Rhinolophus ferrumequinum: one gene and its partner. The protein of the gene in region 1 interacts with the protein of each later gene in a pairwise test. Links are inferred from orthologs where the notes say so. Each region holds a gene or a part of one and is shown on either strand. Other genes may lie near its edges.

Region 1 (7,640 bases):
CTATTAATAGCCCTAATTTGATGATGAGGGAACTAAGACTCAGAGAAGTTGAATAATTTGCCCAAGTTGCTGAGTATCTCAGCGACTAAGTCATGCTTGAAATTTGATTCAAGAGCCAGAGTATCACCCACTGGGACAATGTGCTGCCCAAATGTTCCTCTTTCTCCCCTTATACCCTCTATTCCCCCACCCCCAGCCTAGTCTCCAAAAATGAAATAGAACGAAGAGCTCACCTGCAGCCACTGTCCCTGGAGACGGAATGAGAACTCCACCCATGTCAAAAATCACCGCTCTGTAGGGGCCGCCTCCAGAACGAGTCCATCGCCGGGCTGCCTGGTGCCTGCACTGGTTGTGTTTCAGGAAGGCTGCCCTCCAAGCCCACTGGAGAGGGGACTGGAAAAGCCGCCTTATGCACATGTTGTGGCCAAGGCTGCGTGAGAAGGCACAGGGCAGTTTGCCTCCAATCCAGACTCCCCCCCTGGAGCTCAGGGGTGCCAACTGGACATCTCCACTGACCTCCAACGCTTCAAACCACAACCGGAATTAAACTCGGTATCTCTGCCCTCCTTGACTACTCCTTCTGGGGTCCATAGCTCAGTAAAAGGCTCCACCAGTCACCTAACTGCCCAAGCTGGAAAACTGGGATTCGCCCCTGATGTCCCTGAGTCCCCACCCGGCAACCTCAACTCCAGTTGCTCAGTTCTTCCTCCTGAAAATCTCTACTACCTCTCTCCGCTCTCACTGCCATGACCTCACCCACAGATCATGGCAACAGCCTCCTAAACGGCCCGCTCGCCTCTTCTTGAACCTCCTCATTTTTCCTTCACTCTTCAACCGAGGAATCTTTCAACACTGCAAGTTTGAAACCTCCTATGGCTCCCCATTGTGAGGGTGAAATTCAGGGAATCAATAGCGCAGTTAAACTTAGCTAGTTTCCAACTTCACTCACCGCATAGCTCACTATCTAGCCACCTGTCATTAGACTTAGTTTGCTTGCAGTTTGATCCATCCTGATACTCATCTGTTTTCTCGTTGCTTCTCCCCTCACTGATTGACTGAAGAACTCTGTGCCTTTCCTCAGGCTACCCGTACCTTGTTAATTAACAACATCCTAACCTGAAAAGAGCAGTTTCTTAATCCTTAGGCACTGGGACACTGGAATCCCATCTACAACTTCTTGCAGGTTTTACTGGTGATGCACAGTCGCAAGGGCCAAGGCTGAGTCCAGAGCTAACATCGTCTCCAAACAGACCAGACCCCAGGAAGGATGTCAGCCCTCAGACCTGCCTGACCGACTCCCACTTTCCTATATAAGGAAAAGCTAACCTGAAGTTAGTGCAGCAGCCCACTCTCAGACTCCGGACTCTGCCCTGGCGACACCCTCCCTCCTACACCCCCCCGCCCCTGTTTCTCTCCTTACAGCCTGTGGCAGCCGACATCTTTGGACACTGCCAAGGGCACTTTCTCTCTTCCTAACTTTAATAATAAAACCTTTCTTCTTTCCCACTTTGTGTGTTTTGTGTGAATGCTTTCACCTTTTGTGAATGACCAGGGGTTAATTCCACACCACGAGACCCATTACTCTTATGATAAACTTCCTGAACCTGACTGAAAAGGACCTTTAAGATCTGTGTCCCCTCTTTCTACACCTTAACCTGGATGATCTAGACAAATAAATCTACATGCACCTTCCTGAAACAATATTCTCCTCCTGCTCCTAGGCCTTTCATATGCTGTTTTCTTGGCCTAGGAAGCTACCTTCCACCTGTAACCTGGCTAACTCCAAACTGTCCTGTAGGTGGTAGTTTACCTGTCACTTCCTTCCTGAAACCTCTTCTGGCTACCAGAAAAGACAGATGAGGAGTCTTTCCTGTATATTCCTAAGATACCCTGTATTCACCTCCTCCTAGAAACAAGGATGCCACCGTCACACCATCATCCCGCCTTCAGACCATCACTGCAATGGCCTCTTGTTCTCCATTGCCTCTTTTCTAAACTTACTTTCAAAAGGTTCAGGAAAAAACATACACAACACACACACATACAAGGTCTGACAATTAAGTTCACAAACTTGTTGCAATGATATTGCTAATCTTTTTGCTATCAGAGGGATTATTCATTATGAATTTGTACCGACTGGACAGTTAACCAAGTTTACTATGTGGAAGTGCTGAAAAGGCTGCATGAAAAAGTTAGACGACCTGAACTTTTCCCTAACAATTCATGGCTCTTGCATCACGACAATGCATCAGCTCACACGGCACTGTCTGTGAGGGAGTTTTGAGCCAGTAAACAAATCACTGTATTGCAACACCCTCCCTGCTCACCTGATCTGGCCCCCAGTGACTTCTTTCTTTACTGGAAGATAAAGGAAATATTGAAAAGAAGACATTTGGATGACTTTCAGGACATCAAGGGTAATACGACGACTGCTCTGATGGCCATTCCAGAAAAAGAGTTCCAACATTGCTTTGAAGGGTGGATGAGGTGCTGGCATCAGTGCGTAGCTTCCCAAGGGGCATACTTCAAAGGTGACAGAAGTGATATTCAGCCATGAGGTATGTAGCACTTTTTCTAGGATGAGTTCAGGAACTTACTTGTCAGACCTCATATTTATATCATGTGGAATTCACAAGTCAGGCAGAAATACAGAAGTGATACTGGAGAGCCTCCTCACTATAAAAACTTTAAGTCTCCTTTTCCCTAATGTCTTAGCTCCCTAGTCCCTGGTTGGAATCATTTCTCAAATCAGTTTCTTAATCGTAAACAATAGATTGTTTTTAACTTGAATCATAGAAATATCCTACCCCCTCCTTTAAGTCCCCTAAATCTTGTGATTTATGCTTGTTGTGATTTATCTTGTTGATTATTGTCATTGTAGCAGAGCGTTCTTTCCAGGCCTACCTCCTGGGTAAACAATAACTGAATGACCGATTAAACCAGAAGAAAGACCACAGGCTCCATGAAGCTGAACAAATTATTCGTCACACAGTCTCCCTGCGTCAGTGGCTTTCTGTCCTGCTCGTTGGACCAACACTTTTAACTCTATTAACTAAAATCTATCTCTCCTCATGTCGGGTCCATTAGGATGCCCCACCAAGACTTCCAGTACATTCTGACCACAGAGGTCAACATAGTCCTCCAGGTGGATCCCAAGATCCCTTACCCTCATCTAAGATCAGATAGGGCGAGAGTCCCGTGAATCCCCAATAGGCAGGGACAACGGCCACATTCAGCAGGAAGCAGATACAGAAGAGATCTCCTGTTCCTCAATGTCCCACAGAGACTTACCGGGATCACATCTCTCATGGGGGACATAAAGCAGGCTGTTAGAGGCAGGAATTGGGTCTCTGAGACACCTGGATACAGCAGGTAACATTCCTCCACTTCCAACAGTCTACAAGAAATAACCACCCAAAAGACCTCGGCTCTCCGCCCAAACTTGCCCTTGTTTACCATAACCATTAGCCATTATCAATCACAGGTATCAACCAAGCAGCCCCACAATTAGAGAGGAGCAGCCCATTCTAGAAGAGAAGGAAATAAAAACTCCAAGTCCTCACCAGTCAGCGCCTTTTGAGCCACTCTGTGGCTCAGGCCCACTCCTATCTCTCTTTGGAGTGTACTTGCACTTCTAATAAACTGCTCTTTCACCAGTGTATTTCTGTGTCTCATTCAATTCTTTGCTGGAGATACCAAGAACCTGGACAGGGCGCCGAGAAGGGTCCGCTCCCAGGTCACTTCCTCACCACACCAACAATGACTAGGCTCTCAGTAAACGTTTGTGAAGTGATGGGGCGGGAGTAGGACCCAGATCTATCTCCAGCACTGGACACTTAACAAACCCACCGCCCTACCCTAACAGCGATGGAGACACTGCAATCCAGTCCTTACTCCCCGCGGGCCCTCAGAGAAGCGCATTTACCTGAGTCTCAGCGAACCTATCTGTAAAGTGGGGCTGACACAAAGCATCCAGCCTTGAGCTAGAGCTAGCGGTCAAATAAAACAGAAAGGCACAAGGGCTCTCGACTGAGCGCGGGTTTCTCGGACCATTAGGAGAACTCGCGGGGACGGAGACGTTCCGCCGTCTGCTGAGACAGGCTGAAGGCGAGACCAGGGCGCACACCTACCGATCGGCCTAACAGGGCCCGCGGCGTCCCTCCTTCCCAACCTGCTCCCGATCCCGTCAGGCAGGTTTAGGCTCAGACTCACTTCCACCCCAGCCAATCAGGGCGCGTGCTGGTCTGCGCATGCGTAACCCTGCGGGTCAGCGACGGCGGCCGGGAGGCGGAAGTGGAAGTTGTTGTGGCGCTGAGGGTTGTGCGAGGATCTGCTGCTGCTGCTGCTGAGGCGGCGGCAGTGGCGCTGAGGTGGTGGCGGCGGCGCTGCTCACACCGGGCCGCTCGGCCTGTCGGCTCGCGTCCCAGCCTCTCCTGAGCCCGCCGGGGCCCGCGCCGGCCAGCGCCTGCCCTATGAGTGTGTCACTGGTTGTTATCCGTCTGGAGCTCGCAGAACACTCGCCCGTCCCCGCCGGCTTCGGCTTCAGCGCCGCGGGTAAGTCCCGCGGCCTCGCCGCCTTCCCTGTTGCTCGCGCCTGGGCCCCGGGGGGAGCTGGTCCTCCTAAAGTACGGGCTCCGGGAAAGGCCTCGGCGAGAGCTGTTTCTTCGGGAAGAAGCAAAGAGGGGGCCGGTTCCCTCTCACTCCATCCTTCCTGAAGAGGCCTTCCCAGGTGTGGACGCTGGGACGCCCTTCCCGGTCCCTCCCTCTTGGTGCCTTCCCACGGGCACTCTGTTTCTACCTGGCGCGTCGCCTCCGCCCTGGGTTACAGTCGAGTTTTGTAAGTTGTTTTCCTCTTGGCTTTGTGAAGGCAGGGACTGGATTTCAGCGACGATGAGGGTCCTTGGTTTAATTAAATCGTTCCTCTTTGAAAATGTATTCACTCAGGCTTCTTGTAACAATAGCGATCATTAATAATTCACATTTGTGCATTTCCTGTATCCCAGCTCTGTACCTGTGCGTCTTGTCTTTAATTAACAACTCTTATTAGGTTACATGGGTAGATGCCCCTTTTTACATACAAATTGGGAAACTGAAGCCAGGTGATTGAATGAGTTGCCCACGATTATCTGTAAGTGGTGAAACTGGGATTCTGATTCAGAGAGCTGGACTTGAAGAGTCGGAGCTGTTCCTTACCGGCCACACAACCTCCTTAGGAGAGAAAGGCAGCTATGACTGTTCCTCAAACAATTACCTGACAACATTCATTCAAGAAATACTTGTTGAATGCTACTGTCTGCCGGAGCTTTAGTTGTGTGCAGGATCAGAATCCCTGCTTTATTGGCCCCGGCAGTTCATTGGGGAAGACAGATGAGTTACAAAATAAAGGTAGAATTAGAAGTGTGGTACGTGCTGTGAAGGTAAGAAAGAAACAGTGTGGAGAACTATTACAAGAGGATGTGTTTGGTTTGGGGAGGGGAACTAGAGCCCGTAGGGATGGTGTCATTGGAAACTTTCCCGAGTATGTGAATTTTAGAGCTGCAAAGTAAAGATTGAATATGATTTAATGAGTTACGATGGACACTTTCCAAAGGCTAAAAGTGATCTCTGAGTTCTGAAAGTCAGCCAAGTCCTCATTTGCCACATACACACTTCTACATGGGTGGGTCATTGATTCATTTGGTCATTCAGTAAATCTTTAAAAAGCTTCCAGTGTGTGCTAGGCACTGTGGTGTAAGTGGTGGGCAAAGTAGGCCTTGTCCCTGCCCTGATAGAACTTATCTTAAGGGTATTTCAGTTGAGTCTCCAAATTCCTTTTCCATTTTTGTGTTTCACTGATTGAAGACAGTGATTGCCGATTTTCATAATACAATTCATGGCATGAGGTTAACATAGGTGGTTTAAGTAGACTACCCCTAACGGGTTTTGAAAGTTTTACTTTTTAATGATAATGACTTGATACCTTCCTTTGGGCTCAATACACAGTTGTACTTTACCAGGTATTACAAAAAAGTTGGCTCATCTGGGTATAATCATTCTCAAACCTTTCTTTAAGCTCTTACTCTCATTGGTTTGCTTTAAAGTGAATCGTTTCACTGGAACAGTCCTGCATTTCTGAATTTATTGCACTGGGTGTTTATTGACTGTCTGCTTGGTACTGCAGGAGCCCCAGAGGTGAGTGAGATGGGCACTGCAAAGGCATCTTAATATCTTCGGGGAAGGAAGCAGAGAGAAAAAGGAAACCTATTGGTGGGTACATCGAGAGTGGAGAGGAGCCCGTTTTATTATCAGGTATTAATCATTCATGTGTTCTTTAGCTGGGGAAATGTCTGATGAGGAGATCAAAAAGAAGACACTAGCTTCAGCTGTAGCCTGTTTAGAAGGGAAGTCACCAGGGGAGAAAGCAGCAGTCATACATCAGCATCTTGGCCGTCGAGAAATGACAGATATGATCATTGAGACCATGAAGTCCAACCCAGGTATCCTTTCTAAAATCTTACACCCTGTTTTGTAATGTAAGCCCCTGGTTGCCTGTTTTACATGTTAGTCAGTGAGCCCATGATTTTGCCCTCTAGCATGCTTCTCTCTTTCACTGACTGTGTGCCGCCTTACCTGAGATTGTCGAACCACGTTTCAGCTTCTCCAAATATTTCTCCTAAATTAATCCTAGCAAGCTGGGTTGACAACTCTATTCAGTGAGGAGAGCTGCTTACCACCTAGGTCAGTGGCAAATCATGCATAAATGCAGATAAGCATGTGTGTCTCTCCCTGCCTGCTCTGCCAGCTCACTCCACCCGGAGGAGTGGATGGGTAGCACATCTCTAGCATGGAGGTGCTTAGAACTGGGAGGTTTGGTTTTCACACTTAACAGCCTTGAATGTTTGTCCCACTTAGGAGTGCGTGATGGAAGACACCTGCTTTTATTGTCTTCCTGACAAATGTAAGAGCCATCCTTGAGTTTCTGAGGCTATTAATAAAACTTTTATGGGGCAAAGAGCACTTTTTGGTTGAGATGCCCCAAACACTGTTCTGTGAATATAGGCCTTTTTTTTTTTTTTTTTTTTAAATTGGGGAATATTGGGGAACAGTGTGTTTCTCCAAGGGCCCATCAGCTCCAAGTCGTTGTCCTTCAGTCTAGTTGTGGAGGGCGTGGCTCAGCTCCAAGTCCAGTTGCCGTTTTCAATCTCAGTTGCAGGGGGCACAGCCCACCCTCCCATGCGGGAATTGAACTGACAACCTTGTCGTTGAGAGCTCATGCTCTAACCAACTGAGCCATCCAGCAGCCCCCATGTTAATATAGTTCTTAATGTAACACATTATAATTTCTCTGTCAAAATTTATTCTTCTGAATCAAAATTTTAGTCTAATTAGAATCCTTCAGCATATTTCCTGTCAGTTTATCATCTGCTAATTTTTGATTTGTGAAAGATGAGCTGAAAGCTACCATGGAAGAAGGAAAGTCTTCAGAAGCGTCCCCGACTGCACAGAGAAGTAAAGATCAAAGTGAAGAAAGCATTAACGCTGCTCCCGATTCTCCGTCCAAACAGCTTCCAGATCAGATTTCATTCTTCAGTGGAAATCCATCAGTTGAAATAGTTCATGGCATTATGCATCTATACAAGACAAAGTAAGAAAAACCTTTT
Region 2 (7,441 bases), on another chromosome or scaffold:
AAAAACAAAAACACTTGAAGGATACATTTGTCTGCTTGACACAAAAGGATGGAATGACATGCAAGAAAGAATGGTGAAAAAACAAAGAATAAACATACATGGGTTGGGGCAGCCGGTTGGCTCAGTTGGTTAGAGCGCAGTGCTCACAGCACCAGGGTCACCGGTTGGATCCCCACATGGGCCAGTGGGCTGTGCTCTCCACAACTACATTGTAAACGACGACTTGACTTGGAGCTGATGGGTCCTGGAAAAACACACTGTTCCCCAATATTCCCCAATAAAAATTTAAAAGAAAATATACATGGGTAAAATAAAATTGTCACCAACAGCACATAACAATAATTATTAATTAGTATTGCTCAACGTTGATATGGACTGCCTGAGTGGTCTCATTCTTGTAAGTGTTCATTTCGAATATGGACAACACCTTTTTTTAAAACTTTTATTTGGGGCCGCCCGGTGGCTCAGGCGGTTAGAGCTCCATGCTCCTAAACTCTGAAGGCTGCCGGTTCGATTCCCACATGGGCCAGTAGGCTCTCAACCACAAGGTTGCCAGCTCAATTCCTTGAGTCCCAAGGGATGGTGGGCAGCGCCCCCTGCAACTAAGATTGCACACAGCACCTTGAGCTGAGCTGCCGGTGAGCTCCCGGATGGCTCAGTTGGTGGAAGCGCGTCCTTTCAACTACAAGGTTGCCGGTTCGACTCCCACAAGGGATGGTGGGCTGCGCCTCCTGCAACTAGCAACGGCAACTGGACCTGGAGCTGAGCTGCGCCCTCCACAACTAAGACTGAAAGGACAACAACTTGACTTGGAAAAAAAGTCCTGGAAGTACACCCTGTTCCCCAATAAAGTCCTGTCCCTCTTCCCCAATAAAATCTTTAAAAAAAAAAAAAAAAAGCTTTTATTTATTTTAAGTGTGTTTTTCCACGATCTATCAGCTCCAAGTCAAGTAGTTGTTTCATCTAGTTATGGAGGGCGCAGCTCACAGTGGCCCATATGGGGATTGAACTGGGCCGTTCAATCCCGGCCGTTAAGAGCACTGGGTTCTAACCAACTGAGCTAACCGGCCACCCCTGGACAACATCTTTTCATATATTAGTGTACACTGGGTAAGAGGCTGAAATAAATGATTCCAAACATATCTATTGACCGTAAGGTGTTATCAATTAGACACAGCTGTCAAACATTCCTTGATCAGCTCTGTTTAGCCATCTGAAGCAGGGCATTGCCCCCATCTTAAGAGTTCTAGAAGCTGAGTCTTCTAGGCATTCTTCCCACTCCCATATTCCATAAACAAAAAAGAATATTCTTTTTTTTTAATGAAAGTTTATTGGGGTGACAATTGTTAGTAAAGTTACATAGATTTCAGGTGTACAGTTCTGTATTACATCGTCTATAGATCACATTTTGTGTTCACCACCCAGAGTCAGTTCTCCTTCCATCACCATATATTTGATCCCCTAAAAAAGAATATTCTAAATAGAAATGTTTATTATGTGAACTTTTGGGTAAGATCTTCTAGTTTGGGGGTGGGGTAGAGTTTTTGGCTTTAGATAAAAATTCTGGCATTACAATTAGTCATCATTTGCTTGAATTTGAGTCAAGAGTCCTTTTACAGAGAAGTACTTGTATGTGCCTCTTCCTCTACAGGAGAAAATACCACACAGGAACAGACGGAGGGAACACATCCACTCATCCCTGCTGACTGAAAGCTACCTTAAATGATCTGAACATTCCCTCCAAGTTCCCATACAGATCTCCCCAAGGTAGAGGGCCCCAATTCCCTTACTATCAAAAGTTTCTGCCTACCACAGAGTAACACACTTGACAATCTAGAACTTTGGAAATACAAGATCAGGCAACAGACCTCAGAGAGCGAAGCATGGATTAAAGCAAGTATATATCACATTTTCAAGAGGCAGTGCCATTCCAGGCAAGAGGACTGTATTAATAAAGGTTCAAAGGCCACTAAATGAAAATGGGAAAGCCAGGCTCCTATCCCCTTTCAGCCCAAGAAAGCTCATTCATTTCAAAGCATGCATTAATGGCCATGCCATAGGCATCACAATACAGGGACAAAGGGCACTGTTTCTAGAAGGGCAAACATGCAGACAGACACTCTTAGGTTACTAGATGAAAAGCGCTACATCAGGAAGCAAAAGAGGGCACCGAGAGGGCTCTTTCCCACCAACAACCTTCACAGTAACTTTATAGTCATAAATTTATACTCCCCAAGATGCTTCCACAGAACACCTTACGTGATTTGACCCTCAAAACAACCCCAAGAAGTAGGTAAGGCAGGTAGGTTCGTTGTTTACATATATGAAAAGTGAGACAAAATAAATTGATTCCTCCAAGACAATCTGCACCCACAGACAAAGCCCTTCCTCCCTCCGGTCCTCATTTAGGCCCAACCCTCAAAATCCCCAGTAGTCGACCATGCACTAGCTATGTAATCCTGGCCAAGTTAAACCTCAGATGACCCATCTGCAGTAAAGTATAATAAGGTTGTTAGCAATATTAACAAGACGATCCATACAAAGCATGTGGCACAGTGTCTGGCACGTAGCTGGTGCTCAGAAAATGTTTACCACTACTATTACCACTACTATTGTTAGTAATAGGCGAAGACTTCCCATTAAAGGACCCCTCGTGACGAGTCTTTCAGGAATCTGCCCTACCCACGCCCACCCCCCACCGTCACTCTCAGACATAATTCCACAGACACGCCCCCAAGCACTCTTCCCCTCCCCCCAAGCACGCCCAGCCCCTCCCCTTCCGACAGACCCCTCCCCTCACAAACCTTACTCCCAATAGAGTCTCCCCAGTCAGACTCCGTTACGCAGGAGGCCTATCGCTGGCACCTGCCTCTCCAGCACCCCCTCTAGGCCTGTGCATTCCTGTGGGCGCCCAGGCCGAACGCCAACCGCGGGCCCGCGCCGGTTACCTGGCCGCGCGCTCCCGCTCCGCCTCCCGTTTCCTCCGATCGCGTTTGACGCGGGCTCGCGCCAGCGCGGAGCGCACAATTAGTTTAAACTATGGCCCCGCCCCCTCGCACCGCCCTCTGATAGGCTCCTGTCGGCTGGTATGCACGCAAGGGCACGCTTAAGGACCCGGGAAAAGGAAGTGTGAGGGCCACTGGGAAAGGAGAAGGGGTGTCACTACTTCCGGACCCCCGCCTCGACTTGAGAGCAAAGACTACAAATCTCAGCACATCCGCGGCCTTAGAACCCCGCCCCTGACGAACTACAGCTCCCGGTAGGCATCGCGGCAGCGCCTACGGCGCCTGGCCGAGATGTACTAGCGAAGGTAGTTACCATGGAGTTGCGCTGGGTAACCCTGAGGTAGTGAGTGGGACGCCAAGGCTGGAAGGGCAGCAACTGCGGGTGAGTCCAGCGGGAAAATAGGGAACCCGTTCCAGGGAACAGAAGCTCTATGGAGAGGGGAGGGTCATTTCTTTTCTCGGGGACCAGAGACCCCTTCCCCCCCAAAACCCTTACCTCCTTTCACAGTGGACAAGACTCTACACCCATACGGAATAGAAGGGCGCGGAGGAGAGAGAAGGGCGCTGACATACCCGTACAGATTCGGGAGTGCTTAAGAACCTGCCCCATCACAAACATGGGGCCCCCTAATACGAATGCCTCAAATCTCTGACACAGCGTGGGATATTTGAAACGCCCTGATATAGGGTTAGTTTTCCTGATGAACTGAGACGCTCTTCAAGACATGGGAGTAATATCAGAAAAAGACACAGGCCCTAATACTGGAGACGTATGAAAATTTATGGGGCTTGCACTGCCCCTTTCCTTTCAAGCAAGAAGACTCCAGGGTAGAGCCTGCTTCTCAGTCTCAAAGGGATCTTTCCACACTTACTAGGGATCCTGTCCCCAAATTACCGCTTTTCCCTACACCCTCCATGATGGGATTCTCTAACCTCCATGGTTAGAGCTTCATTCCTTTTAGTCTTCATGACAGATCTGTTACATTTAGCAATGTAGCGCTTTTACATCCAGTGTCTCTTTTGAGCTTCACGAGTCAAGGATATTTATCCCCATTTCACAGATTGTAAAACTGAAACCCAGAGTGGTGCAGTGACTTGCCCAAGGCCACACACCAAATCAGTGACAGCCGGGACTAGACCCTAGTGTGCTAACTTCCAGCCAAGTCTGTAACTTGAGTCTACAGCCTCTCTAGCCTAAGACTTGTTCCAACGAGTCAGAATTGCCCAGAGAAAAGAAACCTGTGTGGCCCACATTGGATTATGTACACATCAACCTGAATGAGTTTCACATCCTTCCTTAAAAGTTTAAATGGGAAAGAAAACTAGAGACTGAAGACAATGGAAAACATTTAACTAAATAGGAAAGTCTGGCTACACAGCACCTACATCTGATACTGCCATGATTCGCTGGTTTCTGGCTGGCTTCTAGTTAGCCCTGATTGGTCCACTTACTGATTGGTTCCTGAGCTGTTAAAGTCCCCTTAGGCTCCTTCAGGATATTTCAAAGACAACTCGAACTCTACATATCTGCAACTGAACTCATAATCCATGTACTCCAAACCTGAGTCTCTTCCAGTGTTCTCACCTGTATCCACCATTAAAGAAGTAAAAAACCCAAGTGTTATCCTTAATTCCTCTTATATTTCCCATCCATTATAAAGTCCTATCAGCTTTACTTCTATAGTCCTATCATCACATCTTTCCTGCCTTCCCTCCCAGCCATTTTTTTAAAAACTTTTATTTAAGTGTGTTTTTCCAGGACCCATCAGCTCCAAGTCAAGTAGCTGTCTCAATCTAGTTGTGGAGGGCGCAGCTCACAGTGGCCCCTGTGGGAATCGAACCAGCAACCTTGTTAAGAGCACTGCGCTTTAACCAACTGAGCTAACCAGCCGACCCCCCCCGCCATTTTGCATATTGCAACCAGAGTAATCCATATCAAATGTAAATTTGATACTGTTCACTTCCCCCCGCCCACCCCCATTTCAGAATTGACCTTCTTATTGCTCTTAGCATCAATCAACATCGCAGCCTGGCTCCCATCCACCTCTACAGCCTCCAGTCTAACCATACATATCCCTCCCTTTCTTCCCTCCAGTTATATGACCTTCTTTAAAGTAACTTCTCACCCATAGAGCCTTTGTACATGCTGTTATTTCTGTCTGGAGTGTTCATCTTTCCCCCCTTCTATAGTTGATTTGTATTTCTCCTCAATCTCTTCTCTCAATCACTTCTTTAAAAATGTCTTCTCTGACTGCTCAGACCAGGTCAGATCCCTCAGTTATGGTAACCTCATGTTCCTCTCCTTTGTAGTATTATTCACTCGCAATTTTTTATGTATTTGTTAAGCAGTTACTACTTGCCACCGTGGTAGGGATAGAACTATGAAAAAAAAAAACATGGTTCCTGCCCTGGTGCAGTTTATGGACATACAGATAGTAAGCAGAGCACCCTAGTGTCATGGGTGCTACCGTAGCAGTACATATAGGGTATTTGGGGAGCCCAAAAGAGAAGTTCCACATCTAAGATTTGGGCATAAGGGTAAACGCCTCAGAAAAGGTGAAACCTGAGCTGAGTCATGAAGAATTAGCAAGGTGAAAGGAGGAAGAAACTATTCGGAGCAGAGAAAGCTGGATGTGCAGAGACCCAGAGGCAGCGGAGGGAACTTCCTGTACCTGCATTTGGCTGGGCTGCCGAATTGGAGCAGAGGATAGGAGACGGGAGCAGAGAGGTGGGCAGGAGCCAGGTTGAATCTGGGCCTCCCTTTGGCACCTGGAAACATAACCTTTCAGAACACATTCGGTAATTTGGCAGACTTTTCATGACATTGATTTTTACTTCCACCTGTAACTCATAAACAGAAACCCTCTCTAAGCCAGGCTGTTAAACCTCCTATCTGATCTCATCTGATTGTTTCCTAAAAGCTTCATGTTGCTACTTACCTGGAAGAGGAAAGGAATAGGCTACTAACAAATGAAATTCCAGTTGTTAGTAATTTCCAAAAGCTGAAAACAAATTTCCATCAACTTGGGATTGGTTAAATAAAGTATGGTACACACAAATTCTATGGAATACAGCTGTTAAAAAGGGTAAGAGTGTACAATTTGAAAAGGAAAAAATAAGTTTACAAAGGAATAGACAGTATGTGTTTATTTTAAAATATATATAATTTTGTTACATATGTCTTCTAGGAGAGTATATTCCCAAACTTAATCATTTTTAGAGAGTCAGGCTTTTAGTTTCCATTTGATGTACTTCTGTATGTTGTTGACTTTATTCAGCTATCATGTTAACTTTAAAATTAAAAAAGAAAAAAAGTAAAAGATATTTCTAATTTGGAAAAGAAAAATTCCATAACAAGGCAGGTATGCCCCTAACCCTGTCATTCAAGTCCATCAGTCTGAACAGATGAGGAAGGCGGCCCAGGATCTGACTTGCTCCTGGTCATGAGGCAGAACAGCAGCTGGGAAAGACTGAATCCAAAAACACAGGCACCGGAATAAGCAAGGCAGACTAGGGCTTTGGCAGTTCTCCCCAGCAGTCAGGCTCACTGTCTGACACCTTGAAGACGTCATTCATTTATTCCTTTTCTTCTTTCATTTTTCCATTTATCCATCAAGCCGTTAGTGAATACCCACTCTTTGCCAGGCTCACTACAGGGTAATGGTGGGAAGTGAGAAAGAAGTCTGACTTCTATCCCTGTCTTTAAGCCTACAGGAAGGGAATGGGAAGTAGGTTACAAAGAAATGAGTTGAGTGTACAGTTGCTTCAATTTATTGAGCACCTGCTGCAGGATATACAACAGCTCTCAAGATGGGGTTTTTCTCATTTTACAGATGAAGAAACAGGCTGTGATAAAATTTTGTTTAAAGTACAGTGGGGGCATCTGTCTGTTTAGTTACTGCTGTATAAAAAAACATACAAAAGTATAGTGGCTTAAAGCAATAAGCATTATTGCTTTCAAGTCTCTGCCTCAGTTTCTTCTGGCCTTGGCTGGGCCCTCTCGTGTCTGCAGCCACCTGTGGGCCGGGTGACTCTCCTGACCTTGACTTGGGGTAGGTTGGCTATTAGGCTAGTCTGGGTGGTCTCAGCTGGGATCACTGGCTCTCTTTCACTTATCTCTCACCTGCACGTGTTCCTCATATCCCTCCAGCAGGCTAGCCATGTTCTCTTGGCACTGGCAAAGTGCAAGAGTGCAAGCCCTCTTTTAAGCTTCGATTTGCTTCATGTTTACCAACATCCCATTAGCCAAAGCAAGTCACATGGCCGAGCCCAGCATCAGAGTGAATGGAACTAAACGTTATAGGGCAAAAGGGATGGAAATGGGAGACCATGAATAGGGATTAAGAGAATCAATCTAACACAGGACACATTGATCGATTTTATCTGGAAAAAAATTCTTCATCGAAGAGGGAATACTAGAGCTGAGTATTATAACA

The links. The genes of interacting proteins can lie anywhere in the genome.
Region 2: the proteins of BRAP (region 1) and NUMA1 interact in a two-hybrid assay, tested with the Homo sapiens proteins (2 studies listed by BioGRID and IntAct). The link is inferred for Rhinolophus ferrumequinum from reciprocal best matches to the Homo sapiens genes BRAP and NUMA1.

What each region holds. Positions count from the first base shown.
Region 1 is NC_046308.1:6,973,232-6,980,871, reverse strand, and holds the start of BRAP (BRCA1-associated protein), read left to right. Parts: upstream 1-4,280; 5' UTR 4,281-4,472; coding exon 4,473-4,554; intron 4,555-6,314; coding exon 6,315-6,476; intron 6,477-7,425; coding exon 7,426-7,624; intron 7,625-7,640. Other genes in the region: ACAD10 (acyl-CoA dehydrogenase family member 10), read right to left, coding at 234-430, 3,926-3,972. UniProt on the Homo sapiens protein: Negatively regulates MAP kinase activation by limiting the formation of Raf/MEK complexes probably by inactivation of the KSR1 scaffold protein.
Region 2 is NC_046294.1:47,675,455-47,682,895, forward strand, and holds the start of NUMA1 (nuclear mitotic apparatus protein 1), read right to left. Parts: upstream 3,036-7,441; 5' UTR 2,949-3,035; intron 2,922-2,948; exon of another isoform or gene 2,805-2,921; intron 1-2,804. UniProt on the Homo sapiens protein: Microtubule (MT)-binding protein that plays a role in the formation and maintenance of the spindle poles and the alignement and the segregation of chromosomes during mitotic cell division.